2 linked regions of the Saccharomyces cerevisiae S288C genome follow. Each later gene encodes a partner of the first gene's protein in a complex. Each region holds a gene or a part of one and is shown in the gene's direction. Other genes may lie near its edges.

Region 1 (3,946 bases):
CGGAGGTTCACAAGGGAGAATGTCAACGCCCAGTATCATTGAATTAGGTGAACTTCTTTGCCGTGCTACTTGGGACCAAGCCCCAGGGGCATACCCAAGATCTAGAATTCTCTGATCGGTCCTGTTTTTGCTAAAAAGCCGATATTTATCATCAATCTGCATAAGCTTGAATGCGGCTCTAGACCTCAGATTTTGGACCTTGGCCTCTTTTGTGTAGGGATCCTTCAGTTGTCTATTCAGCCATCTGTTTTGTGAGTTAGAATTATACCGTACATGTATTCGACCTAAAGAAGACGATATTATACTCCTGATACGATTGTACACTAAAATCATGCTGTAATTTTCCCGTCAGTATGTGTAGTCATTACTTCAAACCTCGGATAAGCCCATCTTGATGGCTACGACTTCCATCTATATCAGAGGCTGACATTTTTCTCTCATTGACGGAGACGCCCTTTAACCGGACCTGATCATTTTTAAAAGAACGCCAGTAAAAGAGATCTTACAAATACCAGAGAAACGGTATTGAACCTTCTTCTTTGATTAGAACAAATTACTTGATCTTCTTTTTTAAAAAAGAACTGAAAAATCAAAAACGATACATGAAGATGGTATGTAAGTTAGCTAAATAACTTGCTTAATTTCAAGAAAGGGGACTGTAAAAAATTCAGTTTACTCTACCATTATCTCCATTAACATATCAACTTTTAGATCGCAATGAAGAAGACTGCGTTCATAAACCTTACCTCATAAGGCCAAACAGCTATCAGCTTTTGGCAAAAGTTGAATACGGACATTTTTGAACCCATACATCTTTCAATATGCACGGGTGCAACCTCAAATATTTAAAGTTTTTTTTTCCTGAAACTTTTTTTTCGCACACAATAATGCCATAGACATCTTTTGGCCTCAGATTGGAAAGTCCGAGGAAGAAAGACGCAATCAATGGGAAGAGTGTTGTATTTGGATTAAGATATGTAAGTACATCTTCGCAGCACTTCTTGAGCATTACGTTATTTGGTAACCTCTTGAAGTTTCAGGAAAGACTCCATAGAACTAGTCGCAAGCCTCACGGACCACCAAATACTTTGGAAGACTAATTACATATCATAAAATGTCTAAGATCACCTCTTCTCAAGTCAGAGAACACGTCAAGGAATTGTTGAAGTATTCCAACGAAACCAAGAAGAGAAACTTCTTGGAAACCGTCGAACTACAAGTCGGTTTGAAGAACTATGACCCTCAAAGAGACAAGCGTTTCTCTGGTTCTTTGAAGTTGCCAAACTGTCCAAGACCAAACATGTCCATCTGTATCTTCGGTGATGCTTTCGATGTTGACAGAGCTAAGTCTTGCGGTGTTGACGCTATGTCCGTCGATGACTTGAAGAAGTTGAACAAGAACAAGAAGTTAATCAAGAAGTTGTCTAAGAAGTACAACGCTTTCATTGCTTCCGAAGTTTTGATCAAGCAAGTTCCAAGACTATTGGGTCCTCAATTGTCCAAGGCTGGTAAGTTCCCAACCCCAGTTTCTCACAACGATGACTTGTACGGTAAGGTCACTGATGTCAGATCTACCATCAAGTTCCAATTGAAGAAGGTCTTGTGTTTGGCTGTTGCCGTTGGTAACGTTGAAATGGAAGAAGACGTTTTGGTTAACCAAATCTTGATGTCTGTTAACTTCTTTGTTTCTTTGTTGAAGAAGAACTGGCAAAATGTTGGTTCCTTGGTTGTTAAGTCCTCCATGGGTCCAGCTTTCAGATTGTACTAATCACTTCCGAGCGATTAATACATATCTCCATCTTTTTAAATACCTTTTTTAATACGTATGACTCTAAGTAGTAAAAGTATTATGCATAGTTTTAGCCAGATATTTTTGGGCCCGGAATATATCTTTTCGGGAAGCTCGGAGTATATTGCACCGATCCGATTCTTACTCCATATCATGCCATTTTTCTTTCCTTTCTCAGCGATGTTTTGTAGGAAATCACTTAGAACTTGCCTTACTTTAAAAGCATGTTGAGTGAATTTCACAGATCGATATGCTTTGGTGTTCAATCAGTTCAACCATACCTGCTATTATATAATCTTCGACTCGCATAATATAGGTATTCCATGCGCAAATAGATTACTTGCAAAATGGACATGACTAAAAACCACACCACTGACACAGAGGAGTTTGATGATGGTGATATACGTCCAGTCAGTTTGGGAATTGTGGACGATTATAACGCTTCGTTCGAATTACCTTTGAAACCAAAGTTTTTACAGAGTGAGAATTTCTCAGATTTAACAAGTGAATGGGACCAGTCTAGATCAAATACGCCTGGTCTTGCAGAAGGCAAGACTGAGAAAGCACAGCCATGCGGTACAACAGATAGTTCAAAAAATAGAATACATGTAGAGCAACTGTTGGAATCCGCTAATGAAATGAATAATTATTTGGCGCAGAATATAGAGAACATAAACAATTTTCAGGTGGGGCTATTGAATGGAGGGAAAGGATTATATAGTTCCATGGGTGATGATTCGAGCGCGTGTATTAATGGCACTAATTTTAGCTCAACGTCCAATTTTGAACTAAGTGATGATGAGCTAGAGGATACCACGGGTTGCACAAGTTCTATTTTTGATAAAGATCTTTTCCATCAACAAAACGGGCTAAGCATACCTCGCCGTAGATCACCACTCTTCAAATCTCCAACTGCCAGTTTCGAAATTGGCGATGCTACGGATGTGGAGGAGCAAGATATTGATGACTCCATTTTTTCTGAATGTAGCAGCATTACAAGCTTTGATATGGGAGGGTTGCATATCAGTCTACCACACGATGAAGAAGAAGATCAAGAAAAAACTAAGTCCGAAAGTGAAAACCCGTTGCTACATGGCATACCGGTTGATGTAGAAGTGCCCCACATATCGGTTGATGAAGCTCTGGCGAATTTCAAGGAAACCATAGAACTACTACTAAAACTTAGTGGCAATAGAAAGTGTACCGGTTTCAATACTAGAGTGGAGAAAAAAGAATACTCGAATTTCTACATGAAAAGTAAACCCACCTTATCATCAGCAGATTTTCTCAAGAGAATCCAAGACAAATGTGAGTACCAGCCAACTGTTTACCTTGTGGCAACATTTTTAATTGACACGTTGTTTTTAACAAGGGATGGCAATAACATTTTGCAGTTGAAGTTAAACTTACAGGAAAAGGAGGTCCATCGAATGATAATAGCAGCGGTTAGATTGAGCACGAAATTATTGGAAGATTTCGTTCACTCACATGAATATTTTAGTAAAGTATGCGGTATTTCGAAACGGCTTTTGACTAAATTAGAAGTCAGTCTATTGATCTGTGTGTGCAATACTAAATTAATGGTCAGTAACAGGAAATTAGCCGCCTCCAAATTACTTTTGAATGAACTACGGTCCTTCTGTGTATAGTTGATACAAGTATTTTAGATAATTATTTTAACGAACGTAACGAATGCTTTCCAGTCAATAGCGGCACTGGTAATATGATACAAACAATTTCTCAATAAAACAACGACAAACTTAGTCTGTTTATATTTCCGTGCAATGGTGGAAACCTGTACTCGATATTGGAGAAAACTTCAGAGCTTCCCAACAGTTATCCCGGATTCTTAATTGATGCTCTCGAAACGCACATAAAAATGTGATTTTTTTACTCGCATTAAATTACTGTTGAATCTATGGTTCAAACAAATGTATATTTGCCTACACATCTTTCTCTGTCCCTTCTGTATTGTCTAACCTTAAAATAGAAATATTTCATGGTTTTATTTCTTTTAAGTTTATTATCCATTTTTAACGTGGTGAGAAAACCCGAAATGAAAAATAATAAAGGAAAATTATAGAGGAAAAAAAGTGTAGAAATAGAAAAAAAATAAAAAGGATAATACCGATCAGAAAAATCCTCTTTCTTGCTCTT
Region 2 (3,633 bases), on another chromosome or scaffold:
GGTGGGAACTCTGCTGTATTGACCTGCGGAGATTTTAGTAAGTCCTCACTTGAATACACGACGGTTGCGGGGGCAATCACTTCGTGCGTCACCTTGACTGGGAAAAATCTCCCATTGTGTTCCAAATGAGGTACTTGTCTTTTCAAAGCAGGATGGGGTCTTAAAAGGATAGAAGGTATTATAACTTGCTCCTTTAACGATGATTGCACTTCAGGCGGGTAGATAGACCACGATTTGCGCTTCCTTGCATCTATGCCGAGACCTTTAATACTTTCACTCAGTAAAATATAACAAAGAGCACCATTGCCGCATCCCAAATCTCTAAATTGCATTTTTGAACGGAAGTCTGGACCGTACACTTTAATCCATAATTCAATCAGGAAAGCGGCAATGGCTATGTCTTCAAAAACATGTTTTTTTGGGTCTGTAGACTCTGCCCAATTCTCCACCAGGAACTTGGAGTATTTTTTCTTCAAAACAATGTATGTGTTCTGAAAATTGACTTTATTTACCACTTGATCGTGATTGACCCTCTTTTCATAACCCTGCATCACACCCTTTGAGTGTTTGTTAGCAGTTTGTAATAACCTATAAGCGGTTCTTACAACACGCTCAGATTCATCTGTAAAGGCAGTTTTATCCTCGGGGAAGGGAATGTAGTGTACAGAAAGAACTGACTGGTGTAACAAAATGCCTACACTTTGCGTTCTTGGAATATAAAACGGACAGTCTTTCTCAGAGTTAATGTGCGGCGTATATACAATCAATGAGGTCTCCTGAAAATTAGGGTCTTTGCTATTTAGGATTAAACATGTTTGGTTTATGATAGCATCTTTGTAAAAATTCCTAGGAATGATCCTTCTTACAAATTCATGAACGGGTGACAATTTTAAACTCTCAGATGTTTCACACGACCTTATGTTTAAATCTTCAATATTTATCTTCTTGACATCTTCTTCACCGCTTTCATTACCATTATCGATCTCAAACTTTTTTAATACGGACTCGTCAAATTTTGGCTCAGACCCAGCTTCTGCAGCATGATTGATCTCTTTCAAAATATCCGCTCTTAATATGACAGTAGAGTTAATATTTGGTTCTCTAATAACGTTCATCATTGCTTGCTCGAAGTGGGACTTTGCGAATGTTACTTTCCCATCCGTTTGGTAAAGGCTTAACCATTGAGGTCCTAGAATACTTTTATCATTCACAATAAACTTGAAGCGATCTTTGTGTTGATTTTGATTGTTTTTAGAAATATGTGCACTACCGTCGCCAGTCATTGTTGAGAGAAAGGAGAAGTATCACAAGATAGCAATATAATCGGACCAAATGCGTTGTCTATCTTGCGTAATGGAAATCGCATTTTCTAAATGATATGGTTTATTTCAAAGAATAATGTCATCGGGTTTTCCAAAATGCAAAAAATGAAATTTTTAACAATGCAGAGCAAAAAAGTGAAGAATAAGTGCACTACTAAAACCAAAAAAACAGGAAGAAGGTGCAAAAACGCAAAAAGTAGTTACCATAGTCCGTCCAGACACGTTAAATGAATTGATAGACACGGAGGGATAGACAGGCCGGATGCGCTACTTCTATCTATCCTAGACCCTTTGCTTGTCCTCTGTGTGCAGTTCATTTTCCGTACAAATCACCATACACGTAGACTCGTAAGCCCGTAGCTTTCTAATTGAAAGATAACAAAGGGAATCCAGTTTTACCATATAGCGTATAATTGCAGATAAGGGATATATAGCGCGGCAAACTGGGCAAACTTGAGCAATACCAATGTCTTCTTCTTCACAGTATGTAGTTTTCTAGTCAAGTATCATTGGAAAGTAAAGAACTAGAAATGATGAATACTAACATATATACGAGAAAAAATCAACCTCGAGCTCTATGAACAGATTTAAGCAGTTAGAAAAGCTTGGCAATGGTACGTATGCCACAGTGTACAAGGGACTGAACAAAACCACAGGGGTATATGTTGCCCTGAAAGAGGTAAAACTGGATTCAGAGGAAGGTACACCCTCTACGGCCATCCGTGAGATCTCCCTAATGAAAGAATTGAAACATGAGAACATTGTTAGACTTTATGACGTTATTCACACAGAGAACAAGTTGACTTTGGTTTTTGAATTCATGGACAACGATTTAAAGAAATACATGGATTCCCGCACCGTGGGCAACACACCAAGAGGGCTAGAACTAAACTTGGTTAAATACTTCCAGTGGCAACTACTGCAAGGGCTGGCCTTTTGCCATGAAAACAAGATTCTCCACCGTGATTTAAAACCTCAAAACCTATTAATCAACAAGAGAGGCCAGTTGAAATTGGGTGATTTCGGTCTGGCCCGTGCTTTCGGTATTCCGGTCAACACATTTTCAAGCGAAGTCGTAACGTTGTGGTACCGTGCTCCTGATGTGCTAATGGGTTCTAGGACGTACTCCACATCCATTGATATATGGTCGTGTGGGTGCATTCTTGCGGAAATGATAACGGGTAAGCCTTTGTTTCCTGGCACCAACGACGAAGAACAACTGAAATTGATCTTCGACATCATGGGCACTCCTAATGAGTCCCTATGGCCCAGTGTAACAAAGTTACCCAAATACAACCCAAATATCCAGCAACGACCACCAAGAGACCTACGTCAAGTATTGCAACCACACACCAAAGAACCGCTAGACGGGAATCTCATGGATTTCTTACACGGACTCTTGCAACTTAATCCGGATATGAGGCTGAGCGCCAAGCAGGCTCTGCATCACCCTTGGTTTGCAGAGTACTACCACCACGCTTCATAACGCAGCCCGTCAGCGAAAAACCGTAGCCATGTATATATAATGATAATAATCATCTATAATACACTACTATTACTTTAGTCTCATCTTACGACAGCCTTTACGACGGCTTTTACCGCCTTAAAGGCGGACAGGCTTTGTCTTCCGGAACGGAAAAACATGAAAATTTTTTATTTTTTTTCATTCGTTTATACCGCGAGTGAAAAAAAAAAAAAAGGAAACTGGAAACCTCTCGAATAACGATCGGTGAATGCTTCCCAAGCTGTTTTCGGTCTTCGTGTTGTGTCAAGTGAGAGAGCAGAACGTAAACGCAAACACAACGTCGGTTCTTTCCGTTGGCGTTCGTTGTTTGTTTATTCTCGTTTCTTTGAACCTGTTTGTTTATTTATTTTTAAACAGTCAATTAGTGAGAGTAACACACTTCTAATCTTGGCCTTCTTATTCGTAGCCACCCAGCTATTTTTGGTCTTGATCAGAACAAAGCAAGCAAAACCAAGAACAAACAGAAAGGGGAGAAATAGTTATCGGTTCGTTCCCTGGTTTTACTTCCTTTTTTTTTTCTTTCATTTTATAACACACAACTCCAGCAGTCTGACGCTCACCAATAAGATCAATTTCGTTTAATTGCTTTGCTCGCCCTCACACACGTTATAGTTATGTCGTCTTCCTCACTTCGAGTTTTAGCTATTGGGAACAACCCGAATATCTTGTTCTACACCTCAAGGTTTCAACTGGCCAAGAATATAGACCTCTACCACGTCAACGATTCAAAATCATGTCAATTTGAAATTGAAACTGAATACTACGGCAAAGACCGGTTCGAATTGG

The links.
Region 2: the proteins of PCL10 (region 1) and PHO85 are in contact, whole or in part, in a crystal structure (PDB 4KRD), measured with the Saccharomyces cerevisiae proteins. Residues at the interface, in NP_011381.1 of Saccharomyces cerevisiae: Val257 (codon at 2,905), Glu296 (codon at 3,022), Glu322 (codon at 3,100), Gln324 (codon at 3,106), Thr326 (codon at 3,112), Leu369 (codon at 3,241), Lys372 (codon at 3,250), Leu373 (codon at 3,253), Leu374 (codon at 3,256), Glu375 (codon at 3,259), Asp376 (codon at 3,262), Phe377 (codon at 3,265), His381 (codon at 3,277), Lys392 (codon at 3,310), Arg393 (codon at 3,313), Thr396 (codon at 3,322), Glu399 (codon at 3,331), Val400 (codon at 3,334), Leu403 (codon at 3,343), Ile404 (codon at 3,346), Cys407 (codon at 3,355), Asn408 (codon at 3,358), Thr409 (codon at 3,361), Lys410 (codon at 3,364), Leu411 (codon at 3,367), Met412 (codon at 3,370), Val413 (codon at 3,373), Ser414 (codon at 3,376), Asn415 (codon at 3,379), Lys417 (codon at 3,385); in NP_015294.1 of Saccharomyces cerevisiae: Leu40 (codon at 2,008), Asp41 (codon at 2,011), Ser42 (codon at 2,014), Glu43 (codon at 2,017), Glu44 (codon at 2,020), Gly45 (codon at 2,023), Thr46 (codon at 2,026), Ser48 (codon at 2,032), Ile51 (codon at 2,041), Arg52 (codon at 2,044), Ile54 (codon at 2,050), Ser55 (codon at 2,053), Leu56 (codon at 2,056), Met57 (codon at 2,059), Lys58 (codon at 2,062), Glu59 (codon at 2,065), Leu60 (codon at 2,068), Val71 (codon at 2,101), His73 (codon at 2,107), Leu78 (codon at 2,122), Asn127 (codon at 2,269), Lys128 (codon at 2,272), Ile129 (codon at 2,275), Arg132 (codon at 2,284), Arg156 (codon at 2,356), Ala157 (codon at 2,359), Gly159 (codon at 2,365), Ile160 (codon at 2,368), Pro161 (codon at 2,371), Val162 (codon at 2,374).

Annotation. Positions count from the first base shown.
Region 1 is NC_001139.9:253,527-257,472, forward strand, and holds PCL10 (Pcl10p), read left to right. Parts: upstream 1-2,136; coding exon 2,137-3,438; downstream 3,439-3,946. Other genes in the region: MRM2 (21S rRNA (uridine2791-2'-O) methyltransferase), read right to left, coding at 1-333; 60S ribosomal protein uL1 RPL1B, read left to right, coding at 1,115-1,768. UniProt on the Saccharomyces cerevisiae protein: Cyclin partner of the cyclin-dependent kinase (CDK) PHO85. Together with cyclin PCL8, negatively controls glycogen accumulation under favorable growth conditions.
Region 2 is NC_001148.4:491,193-494,825, reverse strand, and holds PHO85 (cyclin-dependent serine/threonine-protein kinase PHO85), read left to right. Parts: upstream 1-1,788; coding exon 1,789-1,805; intron 1,806-1,907; coding exon 1,908-2,808; downstream 2,809-3,633. Other genes in the region: TRM44 (tRNA (uracil) methyltransferase), read right to left, coding at 1-1,283; SVL3 (Svl3p), read left to right, coding at 3,462-3,633.